Caenorhabditis elegans: one gene and its partner. The protein of the gene in region 2 purifies or fractionates together with the protein of the main gene of each other region. This does not show direct contact. Each region holds a gene or a part of one and is shown on either strand. Other genes may lie near its edges.

Region 1 (8,683 bases), 9.1 Mb from region 2:
AATGCGGCATTTAAAAATTTACAAAAAAATTGGTTGAGGCTCAGCGTTTTTGTAGTTTGTAGTGTGAGCCTCACCCAATTTATGTCGGCATTTTTTTTCAATTTTTTAAAGGAAAAAAGTCATAAAATACGTATTGTGTGTTTAATTTGCGCGGGAAGAATTCAAAATTAATTCAAAAAAAAAAATGATTTGGGACAAATTTCCGTAATTCTAGCTTTGCAAAATTGTAGTTTGTAGCCACTAGCCTCAACCAAAATTGATTTTTTTCTCATTTTTCGGATATGAAGTTTTAATTTCAAAAAGGTCAGGAAAATCTAAAAATTATTCGATTTTTTCTACAATATCGGATAATTTTCCTCATTTTTACAATTAAAAACTCGAAAAACCACGAAAAATCAAAATTTTCGCCTATTAATTCATTTCGAGAGACTACAAACTACAACTTTTTGAGCCTCAACCATTTTGTAGTTTGTAGTATAGTCGTTTTTCTGCAAATTTGATAAGTTTCGGAATTTAACATTTAAAAAAAATTTCCCGTAAAATTTATATAAAAGACAATCAATAAAAGTTAGACTACAAACTACAATTTTCTGAGCCTCAACCAATTCTGGTTGAGGCCCAAAATATTGTAGTTTGTAGTCTGCTTCGATTTTTCGTGAGATTTCTAGTTTTTTGGACTTTTAGAGCCAAATTTCGCCAATTTTATCCATTTTTTCAAGGAAATTTATCCAAAAAAACTACCGTACCAATCTAAGTACAGTAATCATCGTATCCAAATGCCATTCATGATTCGGCGAATATCTTTCCGTTGCAATATACATTCGTGAAGCACATTCCGATTTGAATTCAGCGTCGGCGGTCTCGAGGAAAATGAGCACTTCTTTCGTCATTATTGCGATATTTGTACGGTTCATCAGAGCAAAGCAGAGCTCCATTGCACGTTTTCTGATCGAAATATCCGGATCTTTGAGACATTCAACGACTACGTTACGGTGACGTTGTACGGCCTGAAAAAAACATTGAAATTAACAAAAAAAACTCGGGAGAAAATTATATATTTTTAGGTTAAAACTGATTAGAAATTTCTTTTTAAAAAATGGTTGAGGCTATAAAATGTGTAGTTTGTAGTCTATAAACTAAAAAAAATTTATTGTTAAAGCTCGATAGAAAACGTAAAATTTGAATTTAAAAAAGGAATTTAAAGTTTCCAAAAATTCTTAATATAAAAAATTGAGTGAGGCTCACACTACAAACTACAACTCCACAGCCTCATCAAATCTGGTTGAGGCTAGAAAAAGTGTAGTTTGTAGTGCGTGAGCCTCAATCAAGCTACAAAATTCAAAAATTCGTTGAAAAACTTGATTTTCCGGACAATTTTCATTAAATTAGGTGATTTCCATGTGGAAAACTCATCATAAAATTGAAAATTTTGTATTAAACGGAAAAATTTTAATAAAATAAACAGAAAATGAACTGAAATTGGTTGAGGCTCACACTACAAACTACACATTTCTTCAGCCTCCCCAAACTTGGTTGAGGCTAGAAAAAGTGTAGTTTGCAGTGCGTGAGCCTCAACCAATTATCACTTGGACAGTTTGGCCTGCAAAATATGAAATTTTATGAAAAACTGGGTTTTTTTGGGGGGAAAATTGTACTAAAAAAGCTAAGTTTCACGTTCAAAACGGAAAAAAATGAAATTGAATGAGGCTCCCACTACAAACTACAACTCCACAGCCTCTAAAAACTTGGTTGAGGCTAGAAAAAGTGTAGTTTGTAGTGTAAGCCTCAACCAATTATTATTTACACAGTTTGAGCTGCAAAATGGAATAATTTATTGAAAAACTGATTTTTTAGGCAAAATTTTACTAAAAAGCTAAGTTTCACGTCGAAAACGGAATAGAAAACTAAAAATAAATTTGGTTGAGGCTCACACTACAAACTACAACTCCACAGCCTCATCAAATCTGGTTGAGGCTAGAAAAAGTGTAGTTTGTAGTGCGTGAGCCTCAACCAAGCTGCAAATTTGTCAAAAAACTTGGTTTTCCGGACAAGTTTTAGGCGATTTTCATGTTGAAAACTGAATTTTCAAAATTCTGTTAAAATAAACAAAAAATGAACTGAAATTGAGTGAGGCTCACAATACAAACTACAACTCCACAGCCTCCCCAAATTTGGTTGAGGCTAGAAAAAGTGTAGTTTGTAGTGTGTGAGCCTCAACCAAGCTACAAAATTCGAAAATTCGTTGAAAAACTTGTTTTTCTCGACAATTTTTACTAAAACATGCGATTTTCATTTTGAAAACTCATCAGAATAATTTTTTAAAAAATTCTATTAAAATTAACAACAGAAATAAAATGAAATAAATTTAGTTGAGGCTCTCACACTACAAACTACACACTTTTTCAGCCTCAACCCACCGCCAAAACCTCAATTTTTGAGCCAAAATCGCCATTTTTTCCTTTTTTTTTTTTCCACAAAATCCAACCTGATAATCAACATGAACAGTCTTCAGAAGCGTATTCAACGCCACATATCGAATATTCTTATCCGTATTCAAAAGGAATCGTCCAAGAATGTTCACAGCCAAAATGCGCAGGCCACTCTCGCTCTTAATCTCCATAATCGTGAGTACAGTCTCATAGAGAATCGCGTTTCCGACATTTTTCGCCGTTTCCGTATTCGTTGCCACTTGCGCCAGAATATCATTCATCTCTTCAGTGACACGTACGTCATCCTTCCCCAAAACTCTCAATAATCTCAGAATTTTGACCTGAAGGAACGGGTCAGAGATGCCGGTGACGTCGTGTTCCGGCGAATATCCACTCATTAGAAGATTCTTTAGAATCCGTACCAAATTCGGCACCAATTTCTTAAAATGATTCAAGACATCCGGAGATTTCTCGCACATTTCTGTGACCAAAGTCGTTGCGCCCATCAAAACTCCGTGATTTTTCTCTCCCAGAAGCGATCGGGTACATGGAATGAAGACTTCCATCAGCTCCGGCACTTTTCGAACGATACGGAACGCACAGAGCGCCGCTTTTTTCTTTAAATACGCATTGTTCTGCTTGATGATCTTCTCAACCTCGTTGGCCAGGTCTCGACACATTTCCGCTGAGCAAATTGAGCCCAGAGTGCAGAGAGCTAGTCCGCTGACGAATTGGGTGGAACAGGTGAGGTCGCTGGAAATGAAGAATTTAGTTTTAAAAAATAGAGTTTTCCGCGGAAATTGGGATTTTTTGCTTTTATTGTATCGAAAAATAGTGAAAATTCGATGAAAAACATTGAAAATGAGCAAAATATTAGTTGAGGCTCAGGCTACAAACTACAACTTCTGTCAGCCTCACCAAATTGGAAAACAAATCGTTTAAAATTTGGATTTTTAGCAAAATTTTCACCTTTTTTGCTCAATTTCCGGATTTTACAACCAATTTCTCTATTATTTCGTCGAAAAATAGTGAAAATTCGATGAAAAACATTGAAAATGAGCAAAATATTAGTTGAGGCTAAGACTACAAACTACAACTTTCTGTCAGCCTCACCAAAGTTGGAAGAAATCGTTTTATATTTGGATTTCTAGCAAAATCGTGAATTTTAAAGCAAAAATTCCAGTTTTTAGAACCAAATTCACTAATTTTAGCTCGAAAAATAGTAAAAATTGATGAAAAATCACTAAAAATGAGCAAAATCAAGTTAAAAATCTTGGTTGAGGCTTAGGCTACAAACTACAACTTTTGTCAGCCTCCCCAAAGCTGCTGGTTGAGGCTAAAAAAGTTGTAGTTTGTAGTCTACGCCTCAACCAAAATAATAATTCTTCGGATTTTTTTGTTTTCTATAGCATTTTTTACTGTAAAATCTCATTTTTGCATTGAAAATCCTTTAAAAATTGCTTTTTCTTCAAAAAATCAAATTTTGATGAGAAAAATCGCAGAAAAAAAGCTTTTAAACAAGATTTTTTCATTTTCATGGGTTTTTGCTAACTTTTTAAGCGAATTAGTGACGAGCATATGAACTTCCGATCGTTCATCGAGAAGAAGCATAGCTCCAAGATACCCAATTCGTTTGTCAGTGAATCGGGGGTGAGCCACCAGTTTCATGCACTCCATCTGAATAACAAATAATTTAATTTCCGGCGAAAAACGGTTCAATAACCTGTCCAAAATGCGCTGGGTAGCCGAGCATATGAATATAGAGCAATTTCGCGATATTTCTACATTTCCACGGAGAATCATCGTCTCGGAAGCTTTCTCGAATATTCGCACTTTCTCTATCCACCACTGCTCGCTCTTCAGCCATCGTTCGTGCCGCTCTGACCTGCCGAATTAGGTCTCGAAGCCGCATCGGAGTGCCGAGAGTTCTGAAAAAATAGAATTTACTGGGGAAATTTCGCAAAAATTTGAGTTTTTTAATGTTACAAACCTTCCAATCTTCGACTTATACTCATCGATCTTCTCAATGGCTAGCTCGACAGCCGTCGCCATCCTTGGAGCCTCACCCTGCAAAAATTCCTCATTTTTTGACGTTTTTTTTGGAGTTTTTTAGTTTTTTTTACAGCTCAGCAGTGAAAGTAAGTGGAATAAGTGAAATAAACGACGCTTATTAGTGAAAAAATGAATTTTTTAATCAAAAAATCACGAAAATCCACTAGAAAAAGCTGAAAAATCAGTGACAACACTGCAATTTTATTGATTTTTTGCATTTTACAATCCAACGCAGGGGGCGAGTCCGCAATTGCGCGTGAGGTCTGGTGTGGAGGTACCCGATTGCAGACCGTAGTAGGGGGAATTTAATTTTTGTTTTTTTTCTTTTTTCAATTTTTCGATTAAAAATCACTGAAACTTGAACTTTTCGCCAAAAAAATCGATTTTTTCCAGATGAACACCGAAGAATCGTCGTCCTCACAAGAATTGGAGGAGAAAAAACCGTCTCTCCGCGCTGAAAGATGCGGGATAGCGTCGCTTTTGTCTTCGGTAATTAAATTTCACTTGTTTTCCAAAGAAAAACCGCTTGCTTTTTAGCTCCGCAGTGACCATCTTGCGTCGAAAATCGATGAGCTATCGACCACAGAGGCTGCTGCTTCAGAAGAAATTCCCGAAGAAATCCCAGAAAACCGCCCATTAAATCGAAAAGAGAAGCGAAAACTCCAGAGAATGCAGGAAATTGACCAAGAAGTCAAGAAAAAAGCTCAAGAACCTGTAGAAATCGCCGAAATCCCCACAAATCTTAAAAATACATTTTGGTATCTGAAAATTCGAATTTTAAGTCAAAAAATCTGAAATTTTCAGCGATAAAGCCACTTTCAACTCGTACAACGCTCAATTCGGCTATAAATCAACGGAAAATAATAATTTTGTGCACTTTTCCATTCAAAATGAACAGGGAAACCGGGCTCTTGTGGCTTCACAGGATAGATTTATAAGAATGTATAAAATAGATGAAACTGTCGGTTTTTCTTCCAAAATTTCTGTAAAATAACGCTAAAAATTGCAGCCAGAAGTGATATGGAAGCATAATACGGGAAATTTGGTGCTGGATTCTTGTTGGGAAAACTCTGGAAAAGGGGTGTTCTCGTCGTCAAAACTGCGTCCAATTCAGCTATTTGATACGGAAAATGGAAGTATTCTCGGTGCTTATAATGGAAAAGATGCTGGGGTTGGTTTTTTTTTTTGCAAAAAAAAAAACGAAAAAAAAATGCTTAAAAATTGACATTTTTACATAAAAATCCAAAAAAAATTGGTTGAGGCTCAGAGACTACAAACTACAATTTTCTGAGCCCCAACCAATATTGGGTGAGGCTAAAAATAGTTGTAGTTTGTAGTCTTTAAAAGTAATTTTTCACTTTTTTTTCAATTAAAATCTGTTTTTTAATCAAATTTGTGCCAAAAACCTCTAAAAATAACTGAAAATTGCTAATTTTTTAAACAAAAATGCATTGATTGAGGCTCAGACTACAAACTACAATTTTCTGAGCCTCAACCAATATTGGGTGAGGCTGAAAAAGTTGTAGTTTGTAGTCTCTAAAAGAAATGTTTCACTTTTTTTCAAATTAAAGCTGCTTTTTAATCAAATTTGTGCCAAAAACTCGAAAAACCACGAAAAATTAAAATCTTCGCCTATTAATTCATTTCGAGACTACAAACTACAACTTTTTGAGCCTCAACCATTTTGTAGTTTGTAGTATAGTCGTTTTTCTGCAAATTTGATAAGTTTCAGAATTTAACATTTTAAAAAAATTTCCCTTAAAATTTATATAAAAAACAATCAATAAAAGTTAGACTACAAACTACAATTTTCTGAGCCTCAACCAATTCTGGTTGAGGCTAAAAAAGTTGTAGTTTGTAGTCTAAGCCTCACCCAAAATCGATTTTCAACCGTTTTTAGTGATTTTTAAGTCAAAATTTCCCGTATTTTCACCAAATTAAACAAAAAATTCAATATATTTGCAGGACAATATCACTGCGGCGATGAGCATCGGACAAAGTGGAAGCTCATTGATAGGCGGATTCAAGAACAAATTTCAAATCTGGGATATCGAATATACAGGCGACGCTATTCAACATATCAAGTCATTTGATAATGATTGTGAGCAAAGAAATTTTATCTAAAATAGGATTTTCCAGAGTTTTACAAATTTTTTGCCTGAAAAATTATTGTGACGTAAGTATTACAGAAACTGAAAATTCTGAGAATGCGTATGGGACAACATATTTGACATATCTATATATCTCGTAGCGAAAACTACAGTAATTCTTTAAATAGGTACTGTAGCGATTATCTCGATCTACGGGCTCGATGATGGTTATATATATATATATATATATAACCAGCCGCTGACCGCGCCTACGGCGCGGGCAACGACTGGCACCATTAAAAGTATTTGACACACATACACTTCCAGAATTTTCTCGATTTTTCTAGAAAGTTCTGGAACATTCCAGAATTTTTTCGAAATTTCTAGAAGATTCTAGATTTCCAGAATTTTAGAATTTTGAGAAAATTTAAATTTCCCGCCAAAATATTTTTCTCAGAAAATTTAAATTTCCCTCCAAAATTTTTTTCTCCGAAAATTTAAATTACCCGCCAAAATATTTTTCACAGAAAATTTAAATTTCCCTCCAAAATATTTTTTCAGAAAATTTAAATTTCCCTCCAAAATATTTTTTTCAGAAAATTTAAATTTCCCGCTAAAACATTTTTCGCAGAAAATTTAAATTTCCCGCCAAAATTTTGGGTCTTACCACGGTGGGTCTCACCACGACGGGTCTCACCACGATGGGTCTCACCTCGATGGGTCTCGCCACGATGGGTTTCACCACGAAGGGTCACTCCAGAATTTTCTCGATTTTTCTAGAAAGTTCTGGAACATTCCAGAATTTTCTCGATTTTTCTAGAAAGTTCTGGAACATTCTAGAGTTTTCCAGAAGGTTCTAAAGCTTTTCAGAATTTTCCAGAAGGTTCTGGAACATTCTAGAATTTTCCAGAAATTCCCAGAAGGATTCCCAGAAGGTTCTGGAACATTTCAGAATTTTCCCGAAGTTTCCAATTTCCCTTCCGAAGACGGAAAGTCAATTTTTCCCAAACTACAGTAATCCTATAGTACTCTTACAGTACTCCTACAGTACTACTACAGTACCCCGACCATATCCCACCACTAACCGCAAACCTATATCTCTTCAAAAGACAAAAACTCAATTCTTCCTAAACTACAGTAATCCTACAGTACTCCTACAGTACTCCTACAGTACCCCGACCATATCCCACCACTAACCCCAAACCTATTTGCACGTCAAATGTGTTGTCCCGTACGCATTCTCAGAATTCAGTGTTCCCGTAATAATAAGTACGTGATAACGAAACTTTTAAAATACAAGAAAATTTTAAAAAAATCAATAATATAATTTCCAGACAACACAGGAACAACGGGACTTCCAATGTCGATAACTCCACATCCAACAATGCCTGACCTATTTGCAGCTGGTGGAAGTTCATCTCTAGTTGCAATTTATTCATTAAAATGGAGAAATGCTGTATCGACGATTGAAGGATCACTGAAAGGATACACGAATCTACATTTCTCTCCTGATGGATTAAAGCTTTATGCTTCGGAGAGAAAAGTTCGATTTTTAGTTATTGAATATTGTTTTAAAAATTTTTGAAAAAAGTTATTCAAAATGTTTTAAGGTGAAAAAAAAAATTTGAATGTAAATTTGGAAAATAAAAATTTGAATTTTCGTAACGAAAATTGACTGAAAATTTCTCAAATATTTTAAATTACCGCCAAATCTCAGATCTCAGAAAATGATCTCAGAAAATTTGAATTCCCGTCAAATTGGTTCTCTCAGAAATTTTGAATTTTCCGCCAAAATGTTTTTTTTTCAGAAAATTTAAATTTCATCAAAAATTAAAATTTTAATTTTCCGCCGAAATTGTTTTTTTTTTTTTAGAAAATTTGAATTTCCGCCAAAAATTGTTTCCCTCGGAAAATTTGAATTTCTCGCCCAAAACTGGGTTTTCCCAAAAAATTTGAATTTCCCGCCAAAATTGACTGAAAATTCGAATTCCCGCCAAATTTTTTTTTTCAGAAAATCTTAAAATTCCGCCAAAAAACATTTTTTCAAAAAATTTAAATTTCCGCCAAAAAATGTTTTTCAGAAAATTTGAATTTACCGCCAAAAATATTTTT
Region 2 (9,026 bases):
GTTTTGAAAAAAAATTTATTTTTCAAATAAGCAAATAACTTGAAAGATTTTTGGAACTTTTTATTTTTTGGTAAACGAATTTGAACTTTTTCGAGAGAATTGGACAAAAAATGTTCAAAATGCGTTATTTTTCCTAAAGCGTCCAGATCCCATTCAAACAAACTTAAACAATTTGAAAAAAAAATTCGTGGATAAAAATGCACCGAAAAAAATATTTCGGATCTCTATTTCAGGGGTTCAGAGTTTAGTTCCGCCGCTATAATTTTTGTGGTGAACAAGTCTTAGCTTTCAATCAATTTGCTTTTCGTTTTGAAGCCTCAAAGTTTCTTTAACTTTCTTTCCTTGTCAGATATTACAGAACAGGGGCCAGTTTAGTTCTATTCTTTCTTTAGGGATACTAGGGTTTCTGGGAGTTTACGGAATTCATTTGGAGGAGCACGTAACAAGTTATTTCCAGTTGAACTTAATGCTTTGCAAGAGGATGGCAATATTCAGTATAACAATGTTAAAGTTACACATGTACGTGGTAACGGGTATAACGCAAATCGAAAAGGAATTTCTGTATCTTCGCTCCAACCAGTATCTAATCAATCCAAAAATAGAACTGTGTGAGTTTGTTATTCCTAGCTCTTTTTTCGTACTGAAAATGTCAAAAACTTTCTTCATATATCCGATATTCAGCGTCCGAGGAAGAGCACGTGCCGCAGGAGTTCTTGGATTACTTTTTGGAAATAGACAACAAATAGGATATAACAATGTTTACGGTAATGGGTACTACGGTAATGGATACAATAATGGATATTATGGTAATGGATACTACGGTAATGGTTACGGTAATGGATATGGTAATGGCTATTACAATCAATATAATGGAGGATATGGTGGCAACGGCTACTACAACCAATATTACAATGGAAATAACTATTATGGAGGAAATAGAGGATATTACAACTATAACCAAGGTCAAAGTTACTGTAGAGGTTAGACAATTGAATATTTTAGTTTCCCATTCAATTTTAAAAGTTTCAGTTGCACAATTTGTGGATTATGTTGGCTCAACGCCTCGTTACTACTGTGATTGCCCGCCATATGCACCAAATTATCAATGGAATCAGTGTTCTCCAATGTCTGGTTACTACGGAAAGAAATGATTTTAAAAAATTGATTCTAATTGAAGAATGCAGATATAACTAGAATGAAGTAACAATAAACCTTTTCCTATTGAACTTCACAAAAGTATCCTTGTACAAATCGTTTAAACGCAAATAGCCTAGAAAAAACTATGCCAGAGATATTTTTGAAAATTTTCTGAAAATATCTTCAAACTGTTGCTTTAATTCTATTGAGCCGATTATTGAAGAAAAACTCATTCAGTTATTTATTTATATTGCAGCTTCTTCCCCAACTCTTGCCAACCACGCCCAGAGTTTCCCAAGTCGAGTAATAAGAAAGTTATTGGAAAACTCAAGGATATTTGGTAGGAATTTTGAATAAACTTTAATAATTTTCTGTTTTCAACAGTTATCTCTCAACACTAAATCAAAACTACAACAGAAATAACATTTCGACCTAAACGAAAATTGAAAAGTTGAACCTTTTCTATCAAAACTTAATTAAATTTTTTTCAATTCAAAAATCTTCCGACAATAGGCGGTCAAGATCAAACTATACCGCATTCTTCTCTATCTGATTTGATCACTCATCTAAAAACAAGCCTAGAGAGATGACCAAATGGTTTGGTTTTCGCTAAATCAGAAAATTAAGTTCCTCGCGGGAATTCGTCAAATCAATACATCGCAGCTACCCTATAAAAGTTGACTGACCATTGTGAAAAACTAGATCAAAAGACCATGCGTAGGAGTATTTTATTATGTATGCTTCTTAATTGTTTAGCCTATTTTGTTGGTAAGTGTAGCTTGAACGAATTCGGTTTTTGAGGTTTATATATTATATCTGATTGAATTTTTTTTTTTCAACATAAAAAATTTCGCAGTTTTGAAACTCCTAGGGCAATTACTTTATAAGAATCGCTATTTACTCTAGCATTTAAGTTTTTAAAACCGTTTGGAGTAACTTTCGAACGTTTTTTTGTATGTTTTGATTTTCTCTCGGTGTTCCTTACCGAACTGTAGGGCTACAGTAGTTAGATTTCTTTATATGCCAGCCAGGGCCTTAAGCCCAATGTCAGTCTTTTCTCACAAACCAAAACTCTCAAGGAATTCTTTTTTTTTTCAGTTGAATCTGATGCTCAACGAGGCGGTGGTCGTGGTGGCGGCGGGAGCCGAGGTGGTGGTGGTCGAGGTGGCGGCGGAAGAGGTGGAGGTGGCGGTCGCGGTGGCGGAGGCCGCGGAGGCGGCTGGGGAGGCGGGCGAGGTGGAGGACGTGGAGGATGGGGTGAAGGACGTGGAAGAGGTGGATGGGGAGGTGGAAGAGGAGGTAGTGGATGGCATAACTCGCATAGTCATGAAAGCTCCGGTTCTAGTTGGCATCCAACGTATTATAACAGAAATAATTACTATGGGTGAGCTATTTTTTTCTAGAAGATACTTTCAGATGAACTTCGACGGCGTTGAATCTTTAACTTTGATGTAAAAATTTGCAATATGCATTTATGTTTCCGTTTTTAGATCATCCAAAAAATCAAAAAAAAAATTCTAAATTTTAGCGGCTGGGGACGACCACGCGGTCCAGGACTCCTGGGTCTACTTTTCGGATTTGGGAGGCGTGGTGGATATGGCGGAGGAGGTGGATATGGTTATCAGCCTCAAGGATACTGTAGAGGTTAGATTAAATGCTACACAATTTCAGTTAACCCATACAATTTTCAGTTGCTCAATTCGTTGATTACGTCGGCCCAACGGCTCGTTACTACTGTGATTGTCCACCGTATCCACCAAATTATCAATGGACTCAGTGTACATATTTGCCTATAAAAAGTACAAACTTTTGATTAATTGGTTTAATTTTTGATGTGGAGAGTACAAATGAAGTTCAATTTTTTTTAATTTGTTGATGAAACGGCCGCTCTTTTTCATTTGAAGTTGAAACTTCAATGCATACCTGAAACTGGAAATGAAGGATTTTGTAATCCTTGGCCTTGTAACATAGACTTTAACTTTAAAAACTCAAGTTCTTATCGGAAACTTTGTTTATATTTAACTCCGAATTCAATAAATAACTCTGAAAAACGAACAAAAAAAAGGAAAGATACAAGAAACCAGGGGATGAAAAGCGTTGAAAAGAGCAACAAAAGACAATATCACAGTTAATAAATTACTAGTTTTTTTCTCTCTCGGAATAAAATTAAACATTAAAAAAAAAATATAAGGCACCCAAGGGACCGAATGGCGGGGGAATTGAATAGAACAAAAATTACAGGGATGACTGTTTTGGCTTGAAGGTGGCTTGAAGGATATTGGGAACAGAAAGCTTCTTATTAGGTCATTCTCATTTGATAATCTCCGTTTTGAGTAACATATCGTACCCATGGAAGTGCTTGATATCCAGATTTCTCTATGATTTTTAAATATCGAACCTGGAAGAATATGTTGAATAATTGAAACTAGAGTTAACGACTTACTTGTAGTCCGGAAGTTGTGTAGTAAGGAATTTCAAATTTAACATTGATTGGCGGACGGCCTTCCAGCTCTTCGGAGCCAATTGATGGGAGCATGAACGAAGATCTCATTATATATTCACGGCCTCCTGGAACAATTCAACAATGTTATTAAAAGTTAAGATAACTATACCAAAGGTAAAGATAATATAGAAAAAAAAAATTTCGGACAGAATTTTTTTTCTGTATTGAACAGTTTTCCAACAAATATGCATAACATTTCTATTGAGCTGACTGAAGCATCAAAGTTAAAGTTTTCAATAAAATATTTAAAACTATAGTAAACTATTTGAAAATATTTCTGACTTGATGCTCACCTGGGAAGCTTCGAATACTCCAAACAATAGCATTAAGCTCTGGAACATATTTTGCTGTACCTGCTCCAGTTTTAAATTTTGGAGCACTGACGTCGGATGGAACAGGGATAATAACTTCGACATGATTGGCAACAGATTGACGTTTGAATTGAGATTTCGCCTGGAAAGTAGAGATTCTATAATTCATAATTTGGAAGTGAAAGTAATCACTTTAACCATATATTCAACTCTTGAATGTGCATGTCTCTCAACTGCAGCCTCAACCCAAATCAATGGTTTAACTTGTGTTGTCAATCGATAACTCATCAGCTCAAATTCTCCATCCGGTGGAATAAAAGAAATGGTTCTTTCGGAATCAAAGCGAGATAAACGGACACATTGATGGAATTTGATATCTTCCAATTCGACTCCTTTTCCACTGTTACCACGTCCTACAATTCAATATTTGATACTATTTTACAATTTCAACACTTACTAGAACTTGCACCAGATTGCTGGAAGAACACCTTGTCATTAAGTCCAAGTCGAAGTTCCGGCATTCCAGAAAGAACAACACGGAATCGAATTGAACCAACGATTTCTGAACGGAGTACGGTTCCTTGAGCATTTGCCTAGAAATTTGGTTATTAGGCTTTTTAAAACGGGACTTTGTTTCGGAAGTATAACTATAAAAATATTAACAGCTCACCAGCATATTAACACTTTCAATAACATCGAGAAAAACTTCATTTTTCCGATATTTGATCCCTTCTGATCTCCATGAAACCGCGTTTGTGACTGCCATGGGTGGACGAACTGTCTCCAAACGATTACCTTGTTGTGTTATGAATCTGAAATTTTAAAATAGTTGTGAATGAAATCTAGGTGTAGGTACTTCATCTAGATCCTAAAATCCTTTAGGCGCCTCTTCATCGCTTTTTTAATAACTCACTCTTGAAGAATCTTGCTCTCCGTTGTCTGTGGATATCCAAAATCGAGCATTTCGTCGAAAAGTTCATAAATAATAACGAAATTATCGCGAACAGCTTCTTCCTCCAATGTTTTGAAATATTCGCAGAAAACCTCGACAATTTTGTAAAGAGCCGACAATACAAGAATCACATTCGTGTTTTTCTTCGAAATCGTCACCACTGAAAATCTTTTATTTTAATCTTTGTGTAGGATTATTTTTTCAAAAGTTGAAACTTACAGTAAACATTCATATATTTAATATATGTATAACTAATTCCTTGATGCACTAATACTGGAGATGCACTTCCTTCGTCTTCCTTTTCAACCAACAGTGGCATAAACTTTTCGATACACGACATATCCACATCTCCGCGGTAATTCCTCGATATTACTACCTTTAAAAATAATTTTTAGGATGTTTTGTTTTGAGGTTCCATTCAATTTGATTGATATTTGACTGCTTTTCAGTATTTCTGTGCTTGTCTAAAAAAGTTTGCGCGTACAACGAAGCGCCGAATGTGCAGATGCACAGAATACTACGACAGTGAACTTTTTGAAAAACGAAGTGCTTCGCCGGAAATTTCCGTTCGATTTTTTCATTTTTCGTTGGTTTTCCTTCAAATTTACTGAATTTTTATTTTTTTACAACATTCATTTTGTTCTAAACAGTTATTTCTGTGCTAAATTCATATATTTAACTCGCCTGCCTATCAAAAAATCATTGTGAAACTCACATTTCCTTTGAGGTCCAAGATGAAGAGACCGGAAATCGACATGTCGATTTCTCTGGGTAATCCTGTAATTTAAAATTGTTCCAAAATGTTTTAATATATGTTTTAAAAGCGGTAAACGTGGAAATCTGAAACAATACGTCGAGAATGTGTGGAATAGTGAGCGCGTGAACTTTAAAATTACTCGAAATAGTTTTCACGGCGAAACATTTTGGAAATTTGTTTGTCTCGTTTGCTATTCGAAAAGTTGCAGAGTTGAAAACATGTAATTAAGATATATTTTCGGATTTTAAATATAAAATTCATGTCACTGTGTTATTAATAGAGTTGATCAAGTTTAAAAACAGCCTAAAAAATTAAAGTCGGGAGGAAAGTATTTTGAAATATGTTACTGAAAGGGAAGTTTCTTAATATACGTGTCATTGTATAAATTATTAGAAAAATCGTTTATTCAGACTTTTATAAAGTTTTAGATCAGATAATGACGCGTCATCTTGATGCCCCTTAAATCTAAAACATCTGGCAAAACGTGGAAGCCGTAATAGACTGTCGAGATGTGAGAGGGCTTTCTAGTGAAGCAGAGAAACGAACTGATAGTGGAGAGAAAAATTGGGAATGGATTGAAAATGGAAAAGAAAGGTGTGCGGGAAGAGATGGAGAATGGAATAGAAAGAGAGAACAAATATTGTATTGTATGCAGTCACCGAAAGAGGCGCACCGTCTATAGGTGTCCGCAAAACTATTCACTATCTGAGTCTCTTCGTTTTTCCTTATGCTTCATGATTCTCTTTAAATATCGTACTCTCTTCAATGTAGAGAATCTCTCTCTCATGATGATTTGCCATCGTGATCAGAATATTTATTGATTGAGTAATTGCATATTAGCAGAATATCTCTAAAAAAAGGAAATAGTTCATTAAAAAAATAATTTTTCGATTTTATGCACTTTCACACTTCACTAAATTCTAAGGGTAGAAGCTTTGTAATTATCCAAAAAGAAGGAATGTGATACAGCATTTTCGTAGCAACGAAGAGAAGGTCCCGGTTGCTAGGCTAGAAGCTGAGCGGATTATCCGGATTGAGAGGGAAACAAGGAATTGTGAGAACCTGTAATTATAGCACATATAATTGAGTTTTTTTCTGCTGCGAGTTCTAAAAAATTAAAATCTAAGTGAATTTATTTGATCAATTAAAACAAAAATTATCTCTTTGTGCTCTTTTTTGAATTTTCTAATCAAAATATTCAAACTGTTTAGAAAAATTACAGAATGGTGCTGAACGATTCGTTTTCGGCACTTTTCTCGTCTCCCGCTTCACTCAAAAAGGCGAATGACAGTTTCAATGAATCCTTCGGTGATAAGGTATTTAATATGCCCACATAAATAAAAAATTAACTTTATTTTCAGAATACTCTCTCTCCATCCACAATTTTCCGAAGTCTTCAAAAAGAGCATGATCAGATTTCATCAGTTTTGCGATCGCATCCACCAACAACGGCTCAATATCAAAATTCACTGAACGAGTGGGTTTTTAATTAGCCTTAATTTTATATTTATTTTGCTTTTCAGATTGGTTTCTCTCTACGAACGGGCCGAAGATCAGTCAACATTCGGATTACAGAAGCTCGTTCTCTCAGTTTTTCTGAAACTCGCCGCAAACATTCTCAGTGTGCTCGGAAAGGTTAGCACTGAAGAAAAAACTTCAAACTTCTTCAAATAAATAAATAAAAACCAGTTTTCTTTGTTTAAATCTCATAATTTCAGCCAAATCACCAACCGACACTCTACAAGTTATCCCAACTTCTCGCTTCATCGATTGTTCCCGATTTGAGTCCTGAACATGAAATCGAGGAGATACATATGCAGCAGTGGGCTGATCGAGTTGTTATTGGTGAGAATTTTAAATAAAATGTATTAAAATAAATTATTAAATAATTTCAGAGTGCTCAATTCATCTTGCCAAGTTTACAAACTACAGAATCGACCTTGCTTTTGTAATATTTTCAGATTTATTCGTCTAATTTTCAAGTGAATAAGCTGTCTTTTTTTCAGAACATTGACAGTATCGTTGATGATTTGGTGTTAGCTAGCGGTCGATTTCAGTTCGTAAAATCTTCGATTTTCGAGTAAGAATTTCAAAAGAATTCTGCAATTTTCTTGCATTCTTCAGAGCTGCCCGTGATATTGTATCAAGTGAACAAATGGACCTCAACGCGATAATCACTCCAGAATCGAAATTCAGTTTATCAAATCTTGGCGATGAGCAGACGCTGAGGCTTCTTCTGTGGCTTTATTTATTTCAGAAATCAATGTTGAAAAGTGAATTTCTTTCATCGCTTTTCTCAAATCTTCCATCAACTTTGAATGCACAGGAGTATATGAAAAGTGCAGAATGCTCAATGTTGGATGTCAAAGTGAGTGATAAAATTCAATATTTCTTCTAAAACTCAAAATAATTTTTCATTTTTTCAGCTTTACATCGTAACATTATCTACAGTTGCCTCAACTACAACAGAATCTGGAATGACAATGAAATCAGCTCCAGTTGTTGCTTCACAATTATCTCTCACGAAGCGTCAGAAAGATTGTTGGAAAGCAATTGTTGATGCTTGTGCTGGGTTTGTTCTTTTCTTTGATTTCAAATTCTCACCGGTCCGAAGGCATTCCAGAAAAACCGTCGCTGCTCTTTCACGCCTTCGCACTTCACAACTCGTCGAGGCGGTTCGTTTAATTTCAGACTCATCGGAAGATGTTCAAGTATTGTTCGAAGCGTGGAAGCACTGTCTTCAACCATCAGCTGCTCACGATGATAATGTTCATGAGGCAATTCAAGTTGTCACTGAAAAATATAGAACCAAAATCAATAGTCTTCTTTGTTATGGGTAAGATTAAAAAATGAAATTACTCTGAAATTACGTTTTAATATTTCAGCCCGTTCTACTCAACAGCTCCAGTATCTTCCATGAAGCAAAGTACAGTAACCCGTCGAGATATGAAAGCTCTCTTTCCATTGCCATTTGACTATGAATACATTAATACAACTGAATCCGAACATATAGGAACTATCATCAATAGTCTGTAAGTTGGAAATAATAAGGAAATCTAGATCGAAGAAAAATAGTTTGTTGGTTTTCTGCAATGAAATTTCTTTAAAAAATGTTTTTGGTGGCCCAAAGTTTTGAAAAAAAAAACCAAAAGTTGCGAAAATCTGAAGTTTCGCAGTTTTTAATTGAATCTAAAAATTTCCAGTATTGGATGTCTGTCGACTGAAAATATTCAAAAAAGAGTGCTAATTCAATTTTGGCGGAATTTCAGATTTTAACAAATAAAAAATCCAAAACCTCTACTCCTTCAAATGGAATATTATTATTTATTTTTCAGTGAAGGATATTCAAATGTGGAAGCATCAGAA

What was found.
Region 1: the proteins of apm-1 (region 2) and apg-1 fractionate together in Caenorhabditis elegans (co-fractionation; one large-scale study listed by BioGRID). This does not show direct contact.

Annotation. Positions count from the first base shown.
Region 1 is NC_003279.8:14,401,841-14,410,523, reverse strand, and holds the start of apg-1 (AP-1 complex subunit gamma), read right to left. Parts: upstream 4,497-8,683; 5' UTR 4,482-4,496; coding exon 4,420-4,481; intron 4,358-4,419; coding exon 4,153-4,357; intron 4,107-4,152; coding exon 3,982-4,106; intron 3,183-3,981; coding exon 2,486-3,182; intron 1,008-2,485; coding exon 747-1,007; intron 1-746. Other genes in the region: tcab-1 (WD_REPEATS_REGION domain-containing protein), read left to right, coding at 4,875-4,970, 5,019-5,239, 5,286-5,442, 5,491-5,652, 6,447-6,582, 7,906-8,114.
Region 2 is NC_003279.8:5,339,045-5,348,070, forward strand, and holds apm-1 (MHD domain-containing protein), read right to left. Parts: upstream 5,681-9,026; 5' UTR 5,661-5,680; coding exon 5,619-5,660; intron 5,611-5,618; exon of another isoform or gene 5,389-5,610; intron 5,280-5,388; coding exon 5,123-5,279; intron 5,064-5,122; coding exon 4,865-5,063; intron 4,764-4,864; coding exon 4,622-4,763; intron 4,545-4,621; coding exon 4,409-4,544; intron 4,365-4,408; coding exon 4,144-4,364; intron 4,094-4,143; coding exon 3,934-4,093; intron 3,706-3,933; coding exon 3,581-3,705; intron 3,536-3,580; coding exon 3,437-3,535; 3' UTR 3,136-3,436; downstream 1-3,135. Other genes in the region: F55A12.6 (Prion-like-(Q/N-rich)-domain-bearing protein), read left to right, coding at 458-608, 682-980, 1,030-1,151; F55A12.18 (Glycine-rich protein DOT1-like), read left to right, coding at 1,851-1,905, 2,236-2,521, 2,666-2,781, 2,829-2,950; F55A12.5 (Telomere_reg-2 domain-containing protein), read left to right, coding at 6,884-6,976, 7,022-7,137, 7,184-7,295, 7,379-7,505, 7,556-7,608, 7,667-7,740, 7,785-8,028, 8,087-8,232 and 3 more.